Linked DNA regions of Drosophila melanogaster. The protein of the gene in region 1 interacts with the protein of each later gene in a pairwise test. Each region holds a gene or a part of one and is shown on either strand. Other genes may lie near its edges.

Region 1 (6,019 bases):
CATAAGTTTAAGTTCAATTCCTGGTTTCTGCCAGTTTTGGGATTCAAATATCAAATACAAATAAAAAACATCGATATTAAAAGTGATTATTTTGACGTATTTATCCCGTGCACATATTAAAAGCGATTGATTTTTGCTAAATTTTTTAAAACAAATAATAAAAACTTTAATAATGTTTTGCTGAATTCAATAGTTCGTTTTGAGCATTCCTTTTTTAAATATCCAAATTTGTCTAAATGCACTTTACTTAATTCAATGTTTATCCTTTTTATTGGAGTTTATATTTTGTTGTTCTGTAGCCGCCAATAATCTAAGACTTTTACTGGCTCAGATCACTTTTATGGCACTAGTTTTTTACAACTTCCTGTAAGTGATACTAGTCACTAGCTTTCCACACGCGTCACTTTTTAGAAATGGGAAAATCCTAGAGGCGAAGACTCACGGTACTTTTACACCTGACGGATCTGGCGGCAGCTTCTCGTTAAAACTTAATGGGCTCGCCGTGAATGAACGGCCCTTTATATAGGCGCCTGGATGAACACCCACGCACACCAGTGCACGCGGCATTATCGAGAGATCGCCAAAGAGAGAGAGAGAGAGTGAGCGAGCGTTATCACATCTCACCTCTTTTGTTTATATTTACACTGGGAGCACTTGCACTTTGTTTTTACCTGTCTTTCGTGGGCGCAGCGGGGGCGGTGGATGCCGAAAAGGAACAACGAAAAACTCCAAAAAGTGGGGGCAAATCAATAGGACAACAAACGGGACTCCTACTGTGGTGCTCTTTTCCTTCTCAGTGCTGATGAATGTGAACGTGTCCTTCCCCTCCCGCAGGACACACGGAAATAATTGTGCGCTGTGTTAAATGTCGTGTGCTGATTTTACAAAGTTGTGCAGTGAAAAACATAAAAACGTTAAACAAGTTCCAGTGCGTGCGCGTCGAATCTGCGCAGAGATGAAAAGCGGGCTGTCAAAACCAGAATGGAAAACTGCCAGATGTACAGTGGCGCGCAAAAGTATTCGCACTCGCACGCGATTGTGCCTGCCGTCATTGGTGACTATTGAAACTATTCTGTTTCAATACTCTCTCCATGGAAGCTTGAAATTATTATTATTATTATTATATTATAAAAATTGGTATAAGCCATTTTTAACGGTAAAAATTGGTAGTGTTGTGCAGCATCAAAACTTCGACAAAATTCCAAAGATACTCACTCACACATAACATTAATAATACTCAAAATTTTCAAATTTCAAAATCAATATTCTTTATTCGTAGTAACAACGAATAAACAATCTTTTCATAGCTTTTCAATTCTTTACATTTAAAATATTTCTTAATTCAAGAATTTTGGCTTATCAAGAGTCAAAAACTTTTATACAGTTCATTAATATCTAAAGTTTGGTTATTGCATTGATTGTAATTTAACAATTCGTTGGCTTTCGATGTAATTAAAAGTACCAAAGAGTCGAGAAATTAACAAATCTATGCATTGTCCAGCGCGATGAAGTAGGAAATATCCTCCGGACTGTCTTCGGTGGTCAGGTACACGATCTCCTCGTAAACGTTTTCTTCGGCAGTTGTATATTCTATCATTTCAAAGCCGGGATCTATTTGAACCACCTCGTCGATCTCCACTAGATTGATCTCTTCCAGTCCGTTTTGCTTATCTATATCCTGTATATCCTCCACAACATCTGGCTCTTCCATAACATCCATATCAAGCTCCTCCACAAAATTTCTCTCCTCTCTGTGATCAATCTCCTCCAGCTCATTTTCCGCTTCCAAGTATTCTACTGGCTCAAGAGCTTCAGTTTCCTCCAGACCATCAAGGTCAGCTTGAATCTTGGCCAGATGCCTTGCCGATCGCATGTGCCGAACGAAGCAGAATCTCCTGGCCGTTCTGTATTCGCAGGGCTTGCACTCCAGGGTGCACCTGCACTCCTTCTTGTAGGCGAGGTATTCGTCCTCGGTCTCCCCAGACTCCCCAGATAGCTCCACCATCTGTTCCTGCTCCTGGGGCAGATACTGTATGTATTCATTAGCCTCCAGCTGGCTTTGCACGACCTCGATGTTCGCCTGGCTTTTTGCTTGCATCTCGAATTGAGATTTTCGAGTGGTGCTGTAGTCACACGGCGTGCACGTGGTCAGGATGTCTTCCGTGTATCGTGTTTTCTCCGCATCCGCGGGCGCTGGCTCCTCTACTCTTTTTATGCGTTTTACCGCCGGTTCCGCCCTCTCGGCCTCGTCCATCAGCTTCTCGCACTCCTCCTGCTCCTTCATTATGTGGCGCCTCGACTCCTTGTGCCGGTCGAAGCAATACCGTTTGGCGGTCTTGTAGCCGCAGACGTTGCACGAGAACAGTGACGATTCCACCTCAGACTCGGAGTCAGAGCAGGACTCCAGCAGCATGTGCTTTTGCGACCGCCTGTGGCGCCTCAAGTCTCTTCTCCGGTCCGTGGAGTAAGTGCAGCCGTTTATGTTGCAAGTCAGTCGCTTTATCTTCACCGCCTTGACTTGCTCCTCCTTTCTGGGCGCTTGTTTTAGGTGCAAGTCTGTAAAAAGCGAAATCAATCGTAGTTCAGCCGGCATTTAGGTATTCATTGGTACTCACATTCCATTTCGTCCTCGTAGATGAAATCTAGAGCCTCTATCGTCAGTGTTTCCGTTCTCTGGCATGTCTGCGACATATTTCCCTCGTTTGGTCTGCGTTCTTTTAATAATAACTAAACAAATCAACAATTATTTGATGGTACCAACATTATTTAGCTTGAAAATGTAGAATGCACGCGAGAATTTACGAATTTGGGAATTTAGTATTTTTCAGGCGGCATGTTGGATCTTATTTCCGTGCACCTTAGGAATTATGTTTATTTCATTTTAAAAGTACCCATCAGTGTTTTCGTATGAGTGAAAAGTTAGTAATTTTTAATTTTAATTTTAAATTAGTAACAAGACGACTTGTTAAATTCGGGACAAGAGTCACCCTGTGATGAACCACTTGTTACATGCAGATGCAGCCGGTGACCTCCTCTGGTCACACTGTCCATTTTTAATTTTTTGTAATAGTAGAGTTTTTTTTATAACATTTTATCCGTCTTTTATGCAATATATTTAATTATTATTAGTAAGAGGCAATCCCACACAAACATGCAATCAGTACTCACCCGCTCGTTATGCATTGGTAAGACAAACTGATGTGTGGACTTTGAGCCCCAGCCATTTAAATGTTTTCTATAAGCAAGATCCTAAACCAGATATTGATATTCAGCCCGCAGATCTTTAAATGCTCGTCAAATTGCCTCATTGTCGGCGCTTTCGGAGACGCACCAGATGCTGCAGAAGTCCTGCCGGGACTTTGCCAACAATGAGCTCAGTGGAAACGCAGCCAAGTTCGATCGGGAGCACCTGTATCCAGAGAAACAGATCCGCCAGATGGGCGAACTGGGCGTGATGGCAGTAGCGATTCCCGAGGAGCTGGGTAATTAATATTACGCCCACCTCAGCCCTCCTTATAGTATCTCATTGTATCTCTTTATTGTTAATCAGGCGGCACTGGACTGGATTATGTGGCCTACGCCATTGCCATGGAGGAAATCTCAAGGGGCTGTGCCTCTGCTGGCGTCATCATGTCGGTGAACAACTCCCTGTATCTGGGACCGCTTCTCTCTTTCGGAAACGATGCCCAGAAGAAGGACTACATCACACCGTTTACCACCGGCGAACGAGTGGGCTGCTTCGCGCTCTCTGAACCTGGAAACGGATCCGATGCTGGAGCTGCTTCCACCATAGCAACCGACAAGGGAGATCACTTCGTGCTGAATGGCACCAAGGCCTGGATCACAAATGCCTTCGAGGCGGAGGCAGCCATTGTGTTCGCCACCACCAACAAGCAGCTGAAGCACAAGGGCATCTCCGCATTCATTGTGCCCAAGGCTACCAAGGGCTTCTCGCTGGGCAAAAAGGAGGATAAGCTGGGCATCCGGGGATCTTCGACGTGCCAGCTAATTTTCGAGGACTGCGTGGTGCCCAAGGAGAACATGCTGGGCGAGCCGGGTTTCGGTTTCAAGATTGCCATGCAGACGCTGGACGCCGGCCGCATAGGAATCGCTGGCCAGGCGCTGGGCATTGGTCAGGCTGCCCTCGAATTGGCCGTGGACTACGCCCAGAAGCGACAGGCCTTCGGCAAGCCCATTGCCAAGCTCCAGTCCATCCAGCAAAAGATCGCGGACATGTCGTTGGCCATGGAGTCGGCACGTCTGCTCACCTGGCGCGCCGCCTGGCTGAAGGACCAAAAGCAGCCCTACACCAAAGAAGCTGCAATGGCCAAGCTGGCTGCCTCGGAGGCGGCCACCTTGTGCTCCCACCAGTGTATCCAGATCCTGGGCGGAATGGGCTACGTGACCGACATGGCGGCCGAGCGTCATTACAGGGACGCCCGCATCACTGAGATCTACGAGGGCACCTCCGAAATCCAGCGACTGGTGATCGCGGGCTCCATTCTAAAGGAATATGCTAGTTAAGATCAAAGTTATATATCCGTACTACTTGTGTCTCGTTTAATAAAGAACGTTTTTAATATACTATTTTGCTAGTTCTATTGAGTTGTATAATTGTTTATAATAGATAGAAATACATGAAAAAAACACCTACAACATTTTAATTCTTTAGAAAAAGTTAGCAAAACAATAAATCTTCGTTCAAAAAGTAAAGTAAAATAAGTGAAACTCTTGACTACTTTTTAGACGTTGCATATTTGTAAATTAATTAAAATAATGAACCTTAAGTGCTTTTAAAATATATTTATAAACAAAGCTTATTATTTTATATGCCTAATTATATTATATCTTTTAAACCAAATTTTAAATGACTCAAAAAAATGGGAACTTGGCGCCAAAACTGCAGCAAGGCTTTGTCGGTTAGCATATTTGTGTGGTATTTTTGTGACTTCATTCGGTATATTGCTGGTAGCTGTGCAGCGGTCACACAGCAAAAGCAAAAAGTTTCTTTATTTATTTGATAATTATTCGTTACGCGGTAATTAACGCGATGCAAGTGCAGCAGGAACGTGGTAATGAGAGTTTTTGCCACTGAGCTGCGCGTGTCGGCCGTCCAGAAAGTGCAGAAATCGCGTGAAGTGCGCGAAATCCGTCCAAGAGCAGAAAAGTGCCAAGAATAGCTGCGATGGAAACAGCGATGGATGTGGTGTGTGTAATGGATACGGCGGTGGGCGACCATCTGGAGGACCGCCAGTGTGCGCTGGAGGAGATCAAGCAGGCAGTGCAGTCGGCGGGCGCCAACTTTCAGCGGGTTCAGGTGCGCCAGCTTGGTTATACAATGGCATATGGGTGATTTGACTTACATCCCCCCCACTTGGCATCCTTGCAGTTCGAGCGCCTGGACTTCGGCGAGACGAATGTGCTGGAGACGTTTTACAACGCCGATGTGGCCATTATCGACCTGAGCATTCTCACCCAGCAGCGGCCGCTTTCCTATCACTACGGCGTTAGGGAGAGCTTCGGGATGAAGGAGAACATCCTCACCTACAACGACATCGATTCCAAGCAGACGCTCAGTCTCAAGGTGCGTTCGGAAGTGTTTACCTGGCCGGGCGTGCCTGGCAAACATCTGCGTTCGTGATCGGGAATCCGCTTCCGATAAGATAAATGCTATGACCAGCAACTGCGTGGACTCCTGGACTAGTTGTTCTTGCTGATCTTTCTACAGTCGAGCTTCCACAACGCGAACTGAGTTTATAACAAGTCTCTAACCTAGGTGCTTAGACACCTCTTTCTGGAAAATGACTAAAAATTATTCTATCTACTAGTCTTCCTTTAGCAAATTGCAAAAGAAACCGAAAAACTTCCTCTTTCCAGAGGTTAATAACTAAAACCTCTTTCCCATATGGCAGCCAATAATTTGAACTATGGAAGTTCGACTGTATTTCCGTCGAATCGTTTTCGTTATTTTTGTTTTGGCTGCGGCCATAAAGCAACAAAAGCATTGGCCCAGCAATAA
Region 2 (6,886 bases), on another chromosome or scaffold:
TGCACACATTTTAACACCTCTTTTTTGGTGCGATCGAGCTCCGTGTGTGGCGACGACGGCATGCCATCGTTTTCCCAGTATGCACTTCGATTGGGGCATCTCCTCCAGCTTCGCCAGCTCCTGGGCTAATTAAACCCCATGCAGATGGGACTGGGAGCTGGGAGCTGGACCTGGACCAGCTTACTCCATTTAAAAGTGCCCGGCTGCAATTTGTTGCACTCGCATGTTGCGCCAATTGTTGTGGCCGCGGTTATGGCCATGCTTGATTTATGCCGCCGCAACAGCCGGCCAACTTGGATGTCAACAGGCGGTGAGCTTGCCCCCGGATTGCCCCAGTCCCGGATCCTGTTGCCTGTGTTGCAGTCACAGTCCAGATTCTATGGATCGACCGATGATTTACTACGCAATGCGACAGCTCCGACTGCCCTGCGATGCGCCTCAGTCAATTGCAAAAGCGGCTTAAAATCGCTGGAACCACGGCCCAAAACCAAAGCCACTCGCTCTTCTTCTACATACTGTACACTGACATTTTTAATGGGTGTTTATCCTTATATGGATTAATATGTTAGTGAGATGCTTTCCTAGTATAGCCTTATATTCAGATGAGCGCTTAATTCGAAATAGAAGATATTATATGTTTTAAATATACATAAATATATAATAACATATGTGGTCTTGATTTATATTAAATCTGTTATTATAGTAAATTAATCGAGAGATAATAATTTAAAGGCCAAACATTATTTATGTATTGGTTTATATACAATACATATGTAAATGCTAGCTATTGCTGATTTAAATATATGTACATATACCTGCCTTTAAATGAGTGTTAATAATAGATCCCTCAAACTCGTACTCTTTCTTTGGACTCAGTATGCATTTTTCTCAGTGCATTCGTTCGCACGTCACCGTGAGACTTATAACAAGAAGCGATGCCGATCGGAGTTGGACTAAAGCTCGAACTCGAACTGGGGATCGCAGCTCGCCACAAGTGATGATCGCCTCGGAATTCAATTGATAGTTTGATTTATTGCTACCGGTAACTTTTTGCCGCTTCGTCCCCAGCCCCCCTCCACCCCTCTCCATCACCATCCATCCAGCCAGCCAGCGCATATAAATTAAAGTTGCTCGCTTTTTATGTGGCTCCTCGACGCATCCCCATCCCGATCTCCTCTAACCACATACCCATCCCAATCCCAATCCCAATCCCCTTCAGTTAGTGCTCGCTGATCTTGTTTGTCGCGCGCAGCGCATTACTCGTCCTCTGGAAAGCGAAGCTTCTGGTTTTTACTGCCAGTGCGCATTACTGCGATCTTCGCACATTTTCCTAAGCTCCAAGAATTTTGCGGCGGGGCGACGTGCTCTTACATAAGTCAGTCTAATTTTATGCCATCCTTTATTGGATTTCATTGTACGGCTCTGGCTTATGGTCCATGGCTATTAATTGTGGCTAACCAGTATGGTGCAAAAATGCAAATTGAAATAAAACACCTTTATCTTTTCACAGATGCATAATTGCTTTTTAATTGTGTATCTAATTTTGTATGTTTATCTCAACGATGATAAAACGTAGCCTTGGACAAATCTTTTGGGACTATTAAATTGGATTGAAAAAATATGGGTGTGTTCCGTATCACTTAAAATTTCAAAATTCATAGGAATATTAAAAAAGTAATGATGTTGTACGGGAATTAATCATTGAGGAGAACTGATATGAGTTTAGTTTGGAGATCTTTACATTGTGAGCTATACCAAATAAAGTTATGATATCTATTTCTAAAGGTAGCACACTTTAGTAAGTACTAATATTACTCTTTTTGCATATTGTTAGCAATGCCCAAAATGTCCTGAAATGGTGACCCCGATTCCTTAGCCGGAAGAATCACCATCTGGGCTGACACACATATTCGCCAACGTAACGCAAGTGGAGAGTAACGCAAGGAGTTCGGACCATGTGCATACGAAATGGCCAAACCTAACCATACCAAAAACCGAACTACATACAAACCATACCGAGCCCCAGCGAAACTGAGGCACTCCTCGGAATCATTGTGCACACCTTTTATACGCTTGGCTTTCTAAGAATAATGTGAATACACGCACCACGTAACCTGAGAGCCCTAAGTATGGTTTCTGCCCTATGCTTAAACTTCAATGTATGCCATGTACCTTCCACCCCCCTTCGATTCTCCCCCCCCCCCTTCTCACCTCTTTTTGGTGTCTCTTTTTCAGTGAGTCTCTACCTCTCGGGGCTCTTTTTATAATTATTTATTTATTGTGCAACTTCCAACACCTTCCAGAGACAAGTCAAAGCTTTGCTGTCCGCTGCGTCCCGCTTTTTCCATCCGGGGAATATACTCGTACTATGTGTGTGTGTATCTTGCAGATACATTCGATGGCCGCCGACGTGAACTAATTTTATTTGACAACCCATACTTGTGCAAAACAAATTGCCACTGATGTGCGAAAGACCAAAACAGTTGCCACAGCTCAGTTGTGTCTTGCTGCGTGTTGCTGCTGCTGCTGCTGCGTTGCTGTTGTGAAATTTCCAAATCATTGCACTGCTCCAGCATGCATTTGACTAGTGCCACCAGTTTCTTGTGCCCGGTTGGCTTTTGTTTTAAACTGTTTCGAGCCCCCGATTCCCGATTCCATGTCAGTTCACGGAATTCGCCCGAATCTTGCGGCTCACATGGAGCGTGCAGCAATAGCAGTGCCACAAGGGGCAACATTAGTAGTAAAATCAACTAAGAAACCAACGAACTTAACTTAAACGTTAGTGGAGATAAAACATTTGTAGTTCTCGTGCAAAATAAAAAAAAAAAACAATCAAACAATCGGAAAATCAATGAATTTAAAGGCTATTTAAGTTACTTTTAAAGCTTTGGTGCTAAAAATAATAAGACAAACCTGTATTTAAAAATTACAAAAATAATTTGCTGTACGTGAACAAATTAAAAAAAAAAACAATTTAAATAAAATTTTTAGGATTGGGCATTGTAAGAATTTAATTGGATGATAATACATTTTATATGCTGCTGACTTTAATAAAAGTTTATATTTTAAATCCTTATTATCCTTATAATCCTTATACTTGTTAGAAATATAATACAATATATTATTATATAAATATAATATAATGTAATTAGTAAACGAAAGAATGCATAGAAAGTTTCTCAGATGAATTCTGAATTGTATTTGGTTTTGAAAACTGAAAACTGTCAGTTATGATTTTTCATACGTTTTCCCATTCAAAAAATATTACTAAATTTTTTTTAAATAAAACTAACTACTCCTTTTCTGGATGAGCACATTTTCTTTAGAAACTCATATATGATACTTTTACTGAAACTTAAGCCTGTTAAAATTCAAATTAAAGTCGATAAAGTCATTAAAAAGTTTTTTTGTTAAATTAGAAAGGAGCGTTTTGTTCCAATCGAACTCGCATCAACAATAAATTAAAATGTGCCAAACAAGGCTTGTAAAATATTATTTATTTTAGCACTCACCTGTGGTAGCAGCCGTGGGCGAAACGGGCGTGATTGCCGCCGGCTGACCGACGCCTCCCGCGGAACTGCCCAGCAGTTGGAGATGCGACGGCAACGGCACGGCGGCCATGGGCATGATGGCGCCGGGGGATTGAGAGCCGGCGGTGGCGGTAGCGGGAATTGCGGGTGCTGCTCCTGGCAGGGAGACTCTAATGGCTGCAGTTGTCCTTGTGGGTCCGGGTGAGGTGCTGGTTGCCATGCCACGCTTCCAAAAATCTTCAAGCGCCAGCAATGCAATTGATGTGTTTGGCTATTTTTTTTTTCTCAGTGAACAACAGGCGGCATTTTGTGGGCTTTCTGTGTTTCACCGACGGTTTTTTTGAAAGGGATTATTTGTGAAATTTTTGTTTTTTTTTTGGCACGCCACTCGAAAACGCGCACCGAAACCGCTCGCTTGTGTTGCTGTTGCAAGTTGCACGTTGCTGCTTCTGTTGCTGCTTCTGTTGCGGCTGATGTTGCTGTTGCGTCGTGTTGTTGCTGCTGCTGCTGCTGCTGCTGCTCAACGCTCGCTGACTCGACGCGCACCGCACTTCGCACTCAAACTCAACGCCCGCCGACTCGCTGAATGAGACTGAACTCGGAGCCACCGGCAGCGCAATATCTTACTTGGCCAAAACCTGGATCGGGTTGCTATAGCTGTTGTGTTGCTGCATTCTGGTTTGCCTGTGCTTGTGGTCGGTTTGCCACTGAGCATTCAGCCGTGTTTTTTTTTTCCGCCTCTGAGTGTGTGTGTGTGTGTGGGGGGGTGCGTTAGTGTGTGTGTGCTCGCTTTGAGCGTCGCCCCATTGAGCAGTTTGCTGAGGAAATGAGAGGCAAAATCGGAGGTGGAAAAAAATATGCCGAGAAAAGCGTAGCAGTTGTAAAAGTTCAATAATTAATTACTCGGGCATTCGATTTCAGTGCATTGTTTATCAAAAACTTTCTGGCCCGAACTGCGCTACCAGTTGCTTTCGGCCTTTTAATTGAGCGGCGTTTTTGTTTGGTAATACATACGTGGTGTTGGCCAGTTGGAAAAGTTGTTATATGGAAATGCCGACACCACGAATCGGCTGTCAATCATCGATCACCAAAGGAAGCACTGAAAGAAACACTCAGCTTGAGTGATTTTAGGGAAAGTAAATAAAACACAATAAGATATGATATTATATGATATGCTGCCTAATCCTTTAATACAATTGGAAAATTGTGTCTATATAAAGATGTAATATTAAGTTCTATAATAATGTGCCATTAATGTTATTACAATTTTTATATATATTTGTTTTCTGACTATTGTATTGATTAATTCATGAGATAAACATTCAAAGGGCTGTAGGCGGTAAACTATTTAATATATCATGTTTGCATTTAAATACGTTTATATGTGATGTGTGCAAACTATACATAACAAAAAACAGTTTTCTCTTTATCCCAAAATCCGATAATTTTAAATCGTTTAAATTTAATATGAAATGTTAAATTTTTTTGCGTGATTCCCATATCCTTGGCTCCCGTACACTGAACCCCTTCTTCTTCTGTTTCTTCCCCAAAATCGAGGATGAGCAAAAAGCGCATTACACGGGACATTGGCGGACATTAGTGACTTGGCCGGACGAGAAACCAATGAATCCACGTTGGACGCGACTCCACTCATTTTGGCCAACCACCGCGGTGGTTACTAGCCAAGTGGGGTGTGCAGTTTGGGTGGCAAGGAGGTGGTAAGCAGCGACGTAACCGATTAACTAGGTGGAGAAAAAGAGAGCGAGATAAGGCTGCGCAGCAAAGGAGACAGAGCGAGAAGGAAAGCGCAATATGCATTGCGATTGCAGTGGAGTGACAGGAGCGGCACGAGGTGAAGATGGGTCGGCTAATTGATTTATTTCGCCCACTGTTCCCCTCTCACTCCCACTTGTTCGCTGGTTGGCTGAGTTACAGAAATCAGGAGCCGTGTAATAATGGCCGCCAACTTTTAAGTCTGTGTATGTACATATGCATGCATGTGTATTTGGGCCCTTTAACGTGAAATGATTTTTGCACAGCCAGAGGTGTTGTTATTGCAACTCCCCACTGCAGCGGCACTTCTCTATCCCCCCTTTCTTTTCCAGTGGGTGTGACAGAGAGGCGGCGAACGGACAACCTCCCACACTGATAATGGAAAATAATCAATTTTAATGGCCTATAATTTCGCAGCGCAAAATAACAATGATTCTACGGAGATAGAGAGGCACAAGTTTTGCCATTCAAAATGCACAGCCATGCACGCAGCGCACATAACTTTTGCCAACGCAGGCGTACTAATTTATTTATGTTGATAGAAGACCAGGCAAAAGTTGCTTCCACTAAAAAATATACATATATATGTATATATGACAAGAAAGAAAAAAAACAGATTAAAAGAGAGGGAGATCGCGTTGAGCTCGACTCACCTTCACCTTACATAATTTGAGACAAACTCAAGTTAGCTGGCCAACTGAGTGAGAGCGAGTGAGAGGCGTGTCTGAAGAGCAGACGCGCAGCTGCGCACTAGCTATAGAGTTGTCTTTCTTGCTCCCTTGGTAACTGGAATACCTAGTTATGCCCAATGGGAGAACACTAAGAAAACTCAAAGAAAGGCAAAGTGCCAGTGATTGTCAGAAGGGGGGGCTGAAAGGGGGCCTAGTGTTGATCGGATGTTAAGCAGCGGAATTAACTCGCGCTGCCCAGCCCCTCCACTTCCCCCTTCTGATTGATTTCGGCCTGCATGATTGATTAGATTAATAACGCGGCTAATTAAACATTTATCACTGTATCTAACAAACCGCCCGAGGGGGCGCAAATTAACCCTCCAAGACAACACAAATTATGCCTTCTGCTACAGGCCAACTTCTTTGAATACAACCTTGTTAATTTATTAATTTAAATCAGATAATATTTGTAAATTTAATGCACAAATTATAAAAGTTAGTAAGTATCCCAATAACTTTTTAATAAATGTATAATAAATTTAGTGCATTTACCTTGTTTAACATAAATACTAATGTTAAGATAGGATTTTCATTCAACAACAGTAAAACCATTTAAATTTTGTTTTGAAGAAAAAAGTAATTCATTCAATCATATCTATTTAGCCTATCTTTAATATAATATCTCTAGTTTTTGGTAGTAAGAATCTCGACCACGAACAAATAAAAGAAAAGCATTGTCTCAAAAAAACCTTCAAAATTAGTTGAAAAATCATGTTTTATATTAAATTTATAGTTTATATAATAAATGGAAATTCGGTTTAAGGGCGTTCGACTGTGTGCGACTATGTGCCTGCTTCTAATTGCGTTTCGTGCAACTTTTTCGGGGATGGGCGCATTAATTATGGCCGCCTT
Region 3 (6,635 bases), on another chromosome or scaffold:
GGTCTTGATTATGTTTTTTGTACAAGTTAATCATTTTAAATAATAATGTAAAGAAGCATATAAAATTATATATATGAATCTGATGATTATAAAAAATCCTTCTTATGCTTAAGAATTTTCTAAAATCATTGTTTATTACAGCTGAGCATAAAAGTATCTCGAAGTGAGCAGTATAGCTATATGTATTTAAACTCAACTTAAATAACAAATAATAAAGACAACTACTTCTTACAAAGAAAGGAATGCCTTCAGCTTATAATGAATAGTGGCACATTTAGTAGTTGACCTGGAAACGTTGAGCTATGTACCCCCGATCCTGGCCAAAGACCCCTCCTGTCTGCCATATGCTTACCGGCTGCATGCGAGATGAGCAAATCCTGCGATAGGGCATCCGGCTTGGTGGCACTGACGCCCACGGCACTGACCCGCACCGAGAAGCGTGCTCCGCTCTTCTGCCGCCTCTCCTGGATGCCCTTGTACAGCCAGGCGATGGCGCAGGGTGCTGCTCCCAGGGAACACGCCACACCGCTGCCACTGGCACTGCCACTCCCACTACCACCGCCCAGTTCTCCCAACACCGTTTGGGCCTGGCCGGTGGCGGGATATCCCATGGCCAGCAGGCAGCCATCGGAACCTTCGAGCACGGCGGGTATCACTTCGCTCAGCGCCGATGCACACACATCCGACTGGAATATACGATGCACAGAGAGAAAATGTTAAAAGGTTGGGCATTTTTTTAAGAACTTAACTAAATGGTAATATATAGGAGTTTATAATAATGATGGTTTCAATGGGTATCAATAAGTAAATATAAATGATATAAGATATTTTCCAATTTCCTTCCTTACAAGCACCAAGCATTTTTCTTAGTGTTTATCGAAAACGAATAGGTGTGGAGTGGAGGTCAGTGGGTGGTGGCTAACAAGGCATACTAATGGGCTCTCTTTAATGGCTGGAATTGGGTTCGATTGCGGGGTTAATTCGATTGCTGATTAGATCCGATGGGGCAGGACAATACGCGTATGTGTTAATTCTATTGGGGGTATTTCTTTCGTTCGGTCTGAGGGATTGCCTTATGAGTGATTGCACTTGGAGGGTCATAAATCTTGAAAAGGAACTTTGCTTGCTATGTATTATGAAGATTGATTGTGGTATTTTGTGGTGACTTGTTATTCTGTGGAATTACTAACACCTCTTTTGTAATCTCTTAACAAGTTAAATGGCATAGCTTCGAGACAAAAAATCCAGACATTTATCGTTTGCACCAAATTATTCATATAATGCACAGATGTGCCCTTCTCACAAAAGGATTCCCACGGTCAATTTAACTTTTATAATTGCAACTCAATATTTACGTTAGGGACATTTTTCTGCAGACAAATAACATCGCGAGAAGTCTGGAAAGTTTTGTTGATTTTGAGAAAAGCAAAGTACACTGGCAAAGTGTTAACTCTCAGTTGCCGGAAGTTTTGTAGTTTTTTGTACATAATGAATGGTTTTATTGTCAATATTGTATTACCCTTATTATTATTAGGTGGGCCTTTTGTTTGTTTATCAAGAATTAATAGCTGTTAATAAGGGTTATTTGCCACCTAAATTATACTGTGTGTCAACAGTAACCAATCAAGTATTTAGTTTACTTGGTAACGGTTGCTCTTGTTTGTTATTATTTAAACAAATTTGCTATTTACATTTAAATAAATTAGAATTAATACTTTTAACTACATATTTTTCAAACGATTTTTAGAATATTTCAACTTGATTTAATTGATGTTATACTTATGATGTTTTATACCTATTTCTTAAACTTATTCTGGATCTAAGGATGCTTTAAATAAATTGGTTCAACATCCATGTGTGAACGTGCACTCCATTCAGATTTTCGTTAAGGTTGAAACTCACCTGCTTATCCTCGCCAGTGAAGAGGTTATCGAATGCAAACATTTTGGGAGCGGCCACCATGGGCGCCCGTTCCTGGGCAGCCTGGGGCGGCGGACACGCGGTTCTCGGATCGGTGAGCGTGACCTGTCGCTTCTTCTTGTCCAGGGCCATAAAGTCCGGCTCGGTTCCGCCGGAGTTCCTGTCCCGGTCCGCCACCCGCAGCATGACCTTCACCTTGCCCACTCCGTAGCACTCCCGGCTACTCAGGCGTCGGATGAGGGTCGGCGGCATCGGCGGCGGTGCCCGCTGCAATGCACCACAGAAGCCACCGTTGCGGGACATGTTTGACGTACTGGTGGTGGCCATGGTTCCTTGACTATTGTTCGCCACAGTTGGCGGTGGAAGTTTATTGCTGGAAGCACTTGCGTTTCCTTTTGTGGGGAGGGGTAACGAATAAAATTGGGAGTTAATAAGAGGCCCAAATCCTGGCTTTTGTTTTATGTCTGGGGATCTTAAAATGCAATCGTCACTCCCCATAAACTTTGTTTGTTTTTTGGGGGTTTTATGGTTCTTTAAATAGTTGCTGGGCCTGTCATAAATTGCGATTTCGGTTCGGCCCGATGGGCATAAGTTATTTGGTCCTGCCGCCAAGAAGGGTCCTTGCCCTTCGGTAATGGCCATAACACTTTCGCTTTATGGTTATGGGCCATCTGTTTATTGGGCATATGCTTCACTGTACTATCATCACTATCACGCTCGCACTGTCACTGTCACTAAGCTCGTGTTTTATTCACTTGTAGCATCTTGTGCATAAAATCAAATTTATGTTGAATTTGCTTGGGCTTTTATGGTGGGAAATTATGCGCTTCGTTGTCTTTCTAGTGTTCTTTTGGGACTGTCGTATTTCACATCAGTTTAATTCTATTTGAAAAGTTTATGTACACGCTTTTAAGTTCCTTTCGGTCATTAAAAAAAGTTTTAAGCCCAGACTTTTAACAATTTTCAGTTCTTTGTTGGAGCTATAAAGTGTTTTAGAGGTTTTGCATTCTATTACCGAAAACATTAGGACTTTAGTTACAGTATTAATTAAAAAATTAATTAAAAACTTTTCTATGATTACTGTTAGAATTGATTATATATTTAAATGTGGTTTAATTTCTAATACCTTAAATTTAAATTTGTTATAGTCACACAATATTTCTGGTAAAGGTTCCGTTGCTTTTGCAAAGCTTTATTAACTTTTAAATTTTTATTTTTTTATTCTTGAGTTTAATTAAGTTATTATTTCATTTCTCTGAGGAACTGTCTGAACATCTTTAAAATGTTCCTTTGGGATGGGCTTTCTAAGGCGTGTCACTCAAACTTAGATATCGGAATGGCATGCTTTTGGGGCATGCTTCTTATCGTGCTTGTTATGTTTTATATCACTGAAATTATTAACTTTACTTGTTGTGCTGAACTTTACATATATTTGAGATATTCATGCAAATTCCACTGGATTTCTTCATTTTTACTTGTCAGTCGCGGGCCGTGACATTTCTTCAATGCCTTCATTATTATTATTTCAATTTGACTGGGGAAAACGTGACGTTTTTGCAACGTCTTTCATTAATATTGTCCCCCGATTCCCAGCCCCAATTTCCCCATTCCATACACGCTGGCCTCTTCTGTATTGCCATTCCATTGCCATCCCCTTTGAATGACAGGCAACAACTTCGGGTCGGTTCAACTTCATTTTTCAGGCTACGCGCACCTGCCAACTGGAGGGAACTTCTTCGGCAGCTTTTCCATTCTTTTATATGGGTTTGTCCCTTACTTTTTTTTTGCCTGCCCGGTTTCAGTTCGCTTTTTATTGGAGGACTGGCGTCGTCCACCTTTTGAGTTTTAGCTTTGGCTTTTCACACAAATCGATTGGCAATGCCTTCTAATTGTACACGACGCACAATAGGGGAGTCTAGCTGAAGTCAGGGGTTAAGGGTCCTGCGGGGTAGCGGGTAGGCGGGGGTTAAGGGATTTCCCTTTTGGCACAACACACACACACAAGCACACTGGCACGCAAACACACACGAAACAGGAACAAACACAAACCCTTTTTTTATGACTGGCAATTTCTCGCTGTTGATTTCATCTTTGGCTCAACTCCTTCGACTTTCCAAATTGCCTTGATTTCCTCGCACATGATTTATACTTTATATTCAACACACTGGGATTTTCCCCGATTCTCAGCGAGCTTTGTTGTTTTTCTTTTGTATTGGCTTGTCACTTTAGCGAATAATAAATAAAAAACCCGCCAGGCGCGAAAGCCAAACGCGTGCCGATTGCGTTGGCATTACAATGGCAACTGAAGTCGGGTTTTTGGTTTCGGTTTTGGTCTTCGGTCTGGGCCTGAATTTCCCAAGAGTTTTCCGCCTCTCTTTGGCGCAGGCGTGCCAGAAGAAAGAGCGAATCGCGTATGGTAACGCCACATTGCTGACCCCAAGGGTAGTCGGACTTTCACTCTTTCACTCTCTTTCGGAAAATCTCTTGCTTTCGGCCAACGACAGTGGCTTTGAGGCTCAGGTAAACAAAATCAGCGAGGCTAAAACAAAAGGAACAGCGTAAATGATGTTTATATTGTAGACGTCAAAATGCTCACTGGCCAGGAACATTAAAATAGAGTGATACCTCGTCTTTACTAGAAGATGTCCATGGTCACTCGATCTTTAAACGCTAGTAACCATTATTTCTTTACCTTAAAACAATAATGTAATGTATTATACAAAAAATATGTTTTACTTAAAAAAAAAAAAAATTTATAAAGTATGGTCTCATTGTTAAATATTTTTAAACACTATTACTAAACTATTAAAAGAATATATAGCTTAAGAAATAGATAACAAAATCTTTTTTATAAATACTTAAAAGTTGGTTATCCCCAAAAATTGAGTTAAAAGTGCAGGCGTTAGCATTCAAAGATTGAAATCCATAGCTTTTACCGCCTCTGGGATGCAACAGTACAAATACAATATACCTTTTTTCTGCGTGAGTACCTGGAATAAAAGGAATATGGACATGGTGATAGTTGAGCTGCTGGAGCGTCACTTAAGTGCCGCTTGGAGTTTCTGCTGATGGAGGGGGCTTTTTCAGGGGGCAGAGTGGGCGTGAGGTGATGATGGGGCTTTTCGTGGATGGGGATGGGTGAGTGGTGGGCAGAGGGGCCAAATGCAAACGATGTGTTTTTAAGTTCGCTTACATTTGGCAGGCTCGTGAAGGAGCTGTTGAGTGTGTGTTCGGGTTTAAAAGCATGTGTGCACCGGAATGGATGGGGCTTGCACGGATTTACCTCTACTTTTTTTCCATTTTTTTTCACCAAGTGGACAACGGTAACGGGTCAATTAAAGTGGACCCGGCTGATTGTTATTAAGGTGGCTGCGGGAAAAGGGCTGTAATCCAATCCGTTTTAAGGTGTTTCGCTACTAATTATCTTAATACTTAAGGGAAATTCCGTGAAAATCGTTTTTCCGCATCGAGCAAATCAAATTGTATGCAATCCAAGCGCCAAAGAAAATAAAACGCAAGCAAATAAACGAAACAAAGCTCAAGTTCGGTGAATGGAGATAAAAAGTTTGAGAAGCACTTGCGTACAGTTTGGAGGCTAGCTGCGGCGCCATCTGGCGGGCGAACATAACGTGGCAACGCCAACGGCGTTGTAGTTTGAATCTTGAGTTCATTAACATGCAATGAAAATAAGAAATCGTTAAACTATATTTAACATAAAAGTTCCTGCTTATCTGTACTACTGTTTAATATATTTTCATGATATGCTTTTATATATAATTTCAATCCAAGTATTGTCATAATTATCACTATAGCTTATATTATTTTTTATTTTTAGCGTAAGCTGAAAATACTTAGCATGATATTTATTTTTCCAGTAAAATATATATTATATCTATAAATTCTTATCAACAATATTGCGCTGCTGTTCATATTGCGCTGTTGTCATAATTATCACTATAGCTTATATTATTTTTTATTTTTAGCGTAAGCTGAAAATACTTAGCATGATATTTATTTTTCCAGTAAAATATATATTATATCTATAAATTCTTATCAACAATATTGCGCTGCTGTTCAGACTGCAGCATAGGAATTCACATTTAGTGCATTATAAACGTTCGTCTAAAGAGGTTCAATTTGCTAAGCATGTTCCAGCTGAAAGTTCTCCTATATTACGCAATTATCGCAATAGTTATAAATGCATCACCTTCAGGATGCGAGGAGACAGATCGTGTCGAAGCCTCGAAGCGCTGATGCCATTGATCGGTCACATTGCCCAGCACCAGGAACAGTGGAAAACCTGCAAGTTGCAAGAAATACAGGCCCAACAGAGGGATATTGAAAAAGAAATTGAAAGCCAGAAGACATCGCTAACGGAATCGTGGAAGAAGATCATTGCAGAGGATATCGAGAACAGAACCAATAGGTCAGAACTTAAGATGGAGGGTCAACTATCTGACCTACAGGAAGCATTGACTAGTATAACGACGTCGCTGAAGAATATGTCTGCGAAAATAAATATTTTACATAGGTTCAAGCGAATCGGATCGAGATATTTGCACATCGAAGACATAGTCCAACAAAATTGGACCAGTGCTTTGAGCGCATGTCAAAAGATGGGAGGTAATCTAGCCTCAATTATAAATGAAGCAGACTTTAATGCTATCGTTTCGCAACTAAGCAAAGACAACACTTATATGATTGGCATTAGTGAT
Region 4 (5,116 bases), on another chromosome or scaffold:
ATAGACCGACAATGATAAACACCGATCTTATGGTACCGCAATGCAACAATATAGCAGAAATATAAGTATACAAGTTTCCTAATTTCTTTTGCCCTTTGCAGAATACCAAGCCTGGCTTACTATGTCTGCCCGATGATGTTCTAATGATAATTCTAAGTTATCTCGACTTGAAGACCCAACTAAAACTGAAAGACTTTCATTTCCGGTTTAAGAAATTAATGCCGTATGTGTGGCGTGCTTATAACAAATGTGCATATATATCCTTGATTGAAATGCAGCTGAGCGACAAGGATTTGCTATTCTTCCTGGAAAGTACTCAACAAATCCTCAGCACTCTGCGGCTCAAAATGAATAATAGATCTAACTTCGAAACACTTACCAGCTGTAGTTTTCCAAAACTTAAAGATTTTCGATTTTCCACGCATTCGTTTAACTTAAACGATGCGGACGTGCCAAGAATGTTGAAAACTTTTCCAAATCTGACAACTTTTAGCCCCCATGGAAAGTTTACTGGCAAACACTTTGATGAATTCGAGTTTCTCGAGAACCTCACGGTCTCCTACTGCAGCAAATTCAATGTCACCAACTTGATACAGATCCTGAAAACCAGAAAAATAAAATCCCTGAAGCTGGGTATCTTCGATATTGACCAGATTTCGAACACAGAACTGCCCTGGAAAGGGATTAGAAACCTAGAGCAGCTGCAGTGCTTCCAGGAGGAAATGATGGTGTGGTTCCTATCGAAACTGGAACGTCTAACTCACTTGAAGAAGCTATTTCTTTGTGGTCACGTTAGATACGGATTTCTGAGAGAGATTCTCATAGCTGCGAAGAGAAGCACTATAAATATGATCGAGATAAGCCAAAATACATCCATATTTTGTGAAACTTACGGTTTAAATGTGGCTATTAAGACCCTAAAGGTGGCTAATTTTGGTATGCATGCGTATCAGCATCTTCACATTAATGTCAATGAATTTTATATACAAAATTCGGTTTGTGTGGACGAAATTAAGTTTCATACCTTAATACAAAACCTAAACACACACGAGGTCCTGGGTATATACCATTGCACCTTCGGATTTAAGGAGTTCACATTCGATGCGAAGAAACTGGGAGAAAACCGTACCACAGCACTTAATATTTATGTGGAACTAAACACGTATCTCATGTCTAATGAGGTCTAAGTATTTCACAACTTATATTAGCTTTCGTTTCTAATATTTTTCATTACAGGATCCCATCCCCATGACCTGGAAAGTGCAAGGGGAACATAGGCTTTTCAAGTTGCACATGAAGCATCCAAAAATCACTTTTAACTCGGATCCAGTTTCAATTTACTTTGATTGAGTTTGATTGCCAAGGAACGAAGCTGTAGACTGATGACTAGTTTGATATGCCAGCTGAGATAGATAACTTTAAATGGCCGAGCCAAATAATTAGTTGTACGTTTTCCCTGGTTATGGAAAAGATTCAACCTTACCGGCGGATTTCAATGAGAAGTTTCCAGGAGTTCTTCAATGCAAGCTCCTCTAGAAGCTGCCAAGGATTGACAGTACTATTAGTTACAAAATAAAGGCTTAGTTTTATTGAGACTGTGTGTCAACTTAATTCAGGAGTACAACTCAAATTCAGTGCGCTCAGCATCCGTCATCGGTTCGACGACTTGAAGGCAGGCATTAGCGAACTCCACGAAGAGTGGCTCCTGCATGGCGGCCATCATGGCCGACTGGGCATTGATGGCCACATCAATCTGCTGGAGCAGCGAACGCAGGTGTGGATTGTGGAGCAAATTACGCAGTTCCTGGCAGTTTTCTGTACGGAAACCATCATACTATGAGAAATGTGTATAATTGCGAATTTAAACACCTACCTAGTTGCTGGAGCTTCTCCGCGGCAACTGTGTCGTCGGTGGGGAAGGGCACATGAAGCGTAGGTTCCTCCTGGTAGCCAACTTCAGTCTTTTTCAAGTCGGACTCCCTTGTCGCACATTGGGGCGAATCCCTGTGTGTCTTATAACAAGCCACAGAGCAGCTACATTTTGCGACATTTATTATCTCCGTAGTGAACTGTTCGAATAGCTACTTACTAGGGTGCCGAGCATTTGCTGCACTTGTATTTTCTCAAGTTATCTACGCAAATAATGCATTTTTCCATCTCATCAAATTCAATGTCGCGTGCAAAATAAAACTCAGCTGTGCGAGTTTTATAGCCTCCAGCTTTTGCCTCTATCGAGGGTTCCAAGCCGTTTCTGCTCCACTGGAACGGCGTTATGTTTTTGGAGGTAAACAATCAAAAAGTTAAATGCAAAACGCAAGCAGAATAATATTAAAATGCGCATAAGATCGCGGGGCTGCATGTTAATTTAGTGAGAAAACAAAACTAGTGGAGTTCTACGACGAGTGTGTTGAAACGAATCCCATAGCTTAGTTAGATTGTTCTGTAGCTGCCAGCCTTCGTCAACAGATGAATTCTATCTTTGGCGCCATTACTTTTAATTTGAATTTGAACAATTTGCTGGAACAAATAAAATGTTCATCATCAACATTCAATTTTGCTCATCATAAATAAGTAAATACTTTATATAGTCAGAAAGCTTCAATCTACTGTATCTGTATCTCACTGACTTACATATTGAAAACGTTTAAAGATTATCCACAGGTATTTTAGTTATTAACCATACGATTAGCGGAGTGTTTGGTCAGATTGAGGAAGACATAGAGTCGTCCTGCCCTTTTCCGGTTACGAATAGCCTTATTTGATTGAATGTATCCTGTGTATCCGGTCTGTTTGCTTTGGCCAGTCTCATTTATGGGCCATCCCGGGCACGTCATCTTCCGTGAGGCTTCCGAGCAAACAAACGAGGAACGCTTATCATTGCCCTCCCATTTTTCCGCCCCAAAGCCTCCCAATCCTTTCCCCCCGCCGCCGATGGCAATGCGCAGTCTGAAGCCACCTGGCGAATTAACCGAGAATTCGACAAGCGCGAGGGGAGCAATCAAATGACGGTCGGCGTGTCCGCAAATTGTAAACATATCCTGCACACGGAACGTACTGAAACGGAACGGTCCTTCCCGGGAAGGAGTCGTTCAGATCCGCTCCAGCTCCAAAGACAAGTACAGTACAACCAGAAGTAAAAATAAGTACAACAGTGAGGCTCGATTGGTTAACCGAAGCATGGAATGCCCTTTGTTATTAAGCTTTCTTTCTAATGAAAACGTGTTATGTGTATGCACAATATATAGTCCTAAAAAGTAGGTTTAGTTGCAAGAGAAACATCTCATTTATATGGCCATATTCAGCTATGAAATATACACATATAGATGTGTGTCATTAAGATTTGATAATAATGATAGTCCTATAGGTAATGTCATTGGGTTATAACTTCTTACAGTCCTGTATACGATAACTACACCCATTGAGATCCTTCGTGTCCTGCTCCTAGTCTGAGCCGTAATAACCTCTGCGAGGGTATGGCAAACAGCGAAAAACTTTTGGTGGCAATAAATGACTTCAATGACTGACTGACTGACCGGATGGGGTGGTCTAGGTGCATGGCTATACTCGTATATGAATCGTTTTTTTTCTTCTTGTTTCTGTTGCCATATTTTGGGGGACTTGTAGCCGGGACTGGTTGTTGTTATTTTCAATCGTTTTTGCTTTGTTTTCTGAGCGCTACCAATTGGATTGCACAAAGAAAAACGAGTGGTACAAAAGAAAGCAAAGGATGCAGGCTAACAAAGAGTTTGGGGATGTGGAAGGTCTGGGGAATCGGGCCGGGTAACATGATGTGGCGCCTCTGCCGCTTCCGCTGTTCGTGAGGCACAAGCGCGATAATTGCCAGCGTTATCCGCTCGGCCTGCCAGTCAAATAGGCGCAGCAGCAGAGGCGCTGGCAAGCAGCGGCTATCGGCGGTGGCAGGGATTTCGGGGGGGCAGGAAGACCCTTCGTGTGACTCGCCTACTTTTGATTTACAACATTCGTGCAACATCAGCAGCAGTGTATCGCCAAAAGGAAAAGGGGCGACCAATGCAAACAGCAAGAAGAAAAGCGAGACACACGCCACCAAATGGGGCGAAAGTTTCTCGCGGGGTGCAGTAGTGGCATTTTCCGAGGGCAGGTGTCGTTCGTTAGGAGTTTTCAGCGTTTTTCATTCCCAGCTTTTCCCAGTTACCAAATACCAACTACCAACTACCAACTACCAGTTACCAGCTAGCCGCCAGCGAAAAAGCCAAAAGCGATATTAATAGATAGCGGCACTTTTCGCTTCGTTTTTATCGCCCGAAAAGCCAAACGAGGAAAACACTGGAAGGTGGAAAAATAAGGGGGCAGATAGTCCTGGCAATTGGGCAGATTGACAGATCATGCAATCGTAGTGGCACAGCGTTTATAGTGCATATAATGAATATTAAATTACATGCAACACATATGGCTTTGGCAGTCGAACTTCCTTAGCGCGAATGTACTTTTTTCAAAAAGGTTTGGTTCTTGTGGAGGCAGTTTTTTATCATACTAACCACAAAGTGTTGCACAGCAAAGGTTTAAATCCCTATAAATATATCTATTATGCAACATGTCAAGTGGAGATTGTATGTCCCATAGATTCTTAATCTTTAATAATGGTTATTTTCCGTATAGCGATGATCGCCTGTAGTCCTTCCAGGTAGTTGGATTCATATTGGGTGATAGCAGGCATGCAAACGCGACATCTGCAAGCATATTCGATTGGAATTCACCGGAGTATTGGAGATAGTGGACTAGTGGGTCATCAAATGGATTCGAAAATAATTCGAAATGCCGAACGGATGCCGGGGAACATTAACTATCAGCAGGAGACCACGATGCACGGAGGGATGGAATGGAAGGGCTGCGAGGACTATATGAATCCCAATGGCTTGTAATTTATAACGCAATCACGTGCCACATTCGACGTCGACGAGCAAAAGCAAAGGCGCCAAAAATATGAATATATATATGAAACGAGAGCGACTAAATAATTTGGAAATGATTTACAATATGACCGGGACGAGAATGGACGGAGGCACAGCGATTCCGGAGGTTCATAAATCTAACTGCATGACGAAAAGATGCAGTCCTAGAGTCCACCGCTTTGATT

The links.
Region 2: the proteins of CG17186 (region 1) and toe interact in a two-hybrid assay, tested with the Drosophila melanogaster proteins (one large-scale study listed by BioGRID).
Region 3: the proteins of CG17186 (region 1) and CG14535 interact in a two-hybrid assay, tested with the Drosophila melanogaster proteins (one large-scale study listed by BioGRID).
Region 4: the proteins of CG17186 (region 1) and CG8204 interact in a two-hybrid assay, tested with the Drosophila melanogaster proteins (one large-scale study listed by BioGRID).

The regions. Positions count from the first base shown.
Region 1 is NT_033777.3:19,874,727-19,880,745, forward strand, and holds CG17186 (uncharacterized protein), read right to left. Parts: upstream 2,789-6,019; 5' UTR 2,692-2,788; coding exon 2,616-2,691; intron 2,557-2,615; coding exon 1,487-2,556; 3' UTR 1,248-1,486; downstream 1-1,247. Other genes in the region: Arc42 (Activator-recruited cofactor subunit 42), read left to right, coding at 3,152-3,185, 3,273-3,482, 3,551-4,524; Ask1 (apoptotic signal-regulating kinase 1), read left to right, coding at 5,198-5,317, 5,390-5,584.
Region 2 is NT_037436.4:12,428,564-12,435,449, forward strand, and holds the start of toe (twin of eyg), read right to left. Parts: upstream 4,106-6,886; 5' UTR 3,751-4,105; coding exon 3,513-3,750; intron 1-3,512.
Region 3 is NT_033779.5:7,851,055-7,857,689, forward strand, and holds the start of CG14535 (uncharacterized protein), read right to left. Parts: upstream 4,422-6,635; 5' UTR 3,970-4,421; intron 2,313-3,969; 5' UTR 2,248-2,312; coding exon 1,903-2,247; intron 687-1,902; coding exon 353-686; intron 1-352.
Region 4 is NT_033778.4:15,571,577-15,576,692, forward strand, and holds CG8204 (uncharacterized protein), read right to left. Parts: upstream 2,416-5,116; 5' UTR 2,158-2,415; coding exon 2,090-2,157; intron 2,035-2,089; coding exon 1,874-2,034; intron 1,816-1,873; coding exon 1,613-1,815; 3' UTR 1,568-1,612; downstream 1-1,567. Other genes in the region: CG30466 (uncharacterized protein), read left to right, coding at 102-1,181, 1,237-1,350.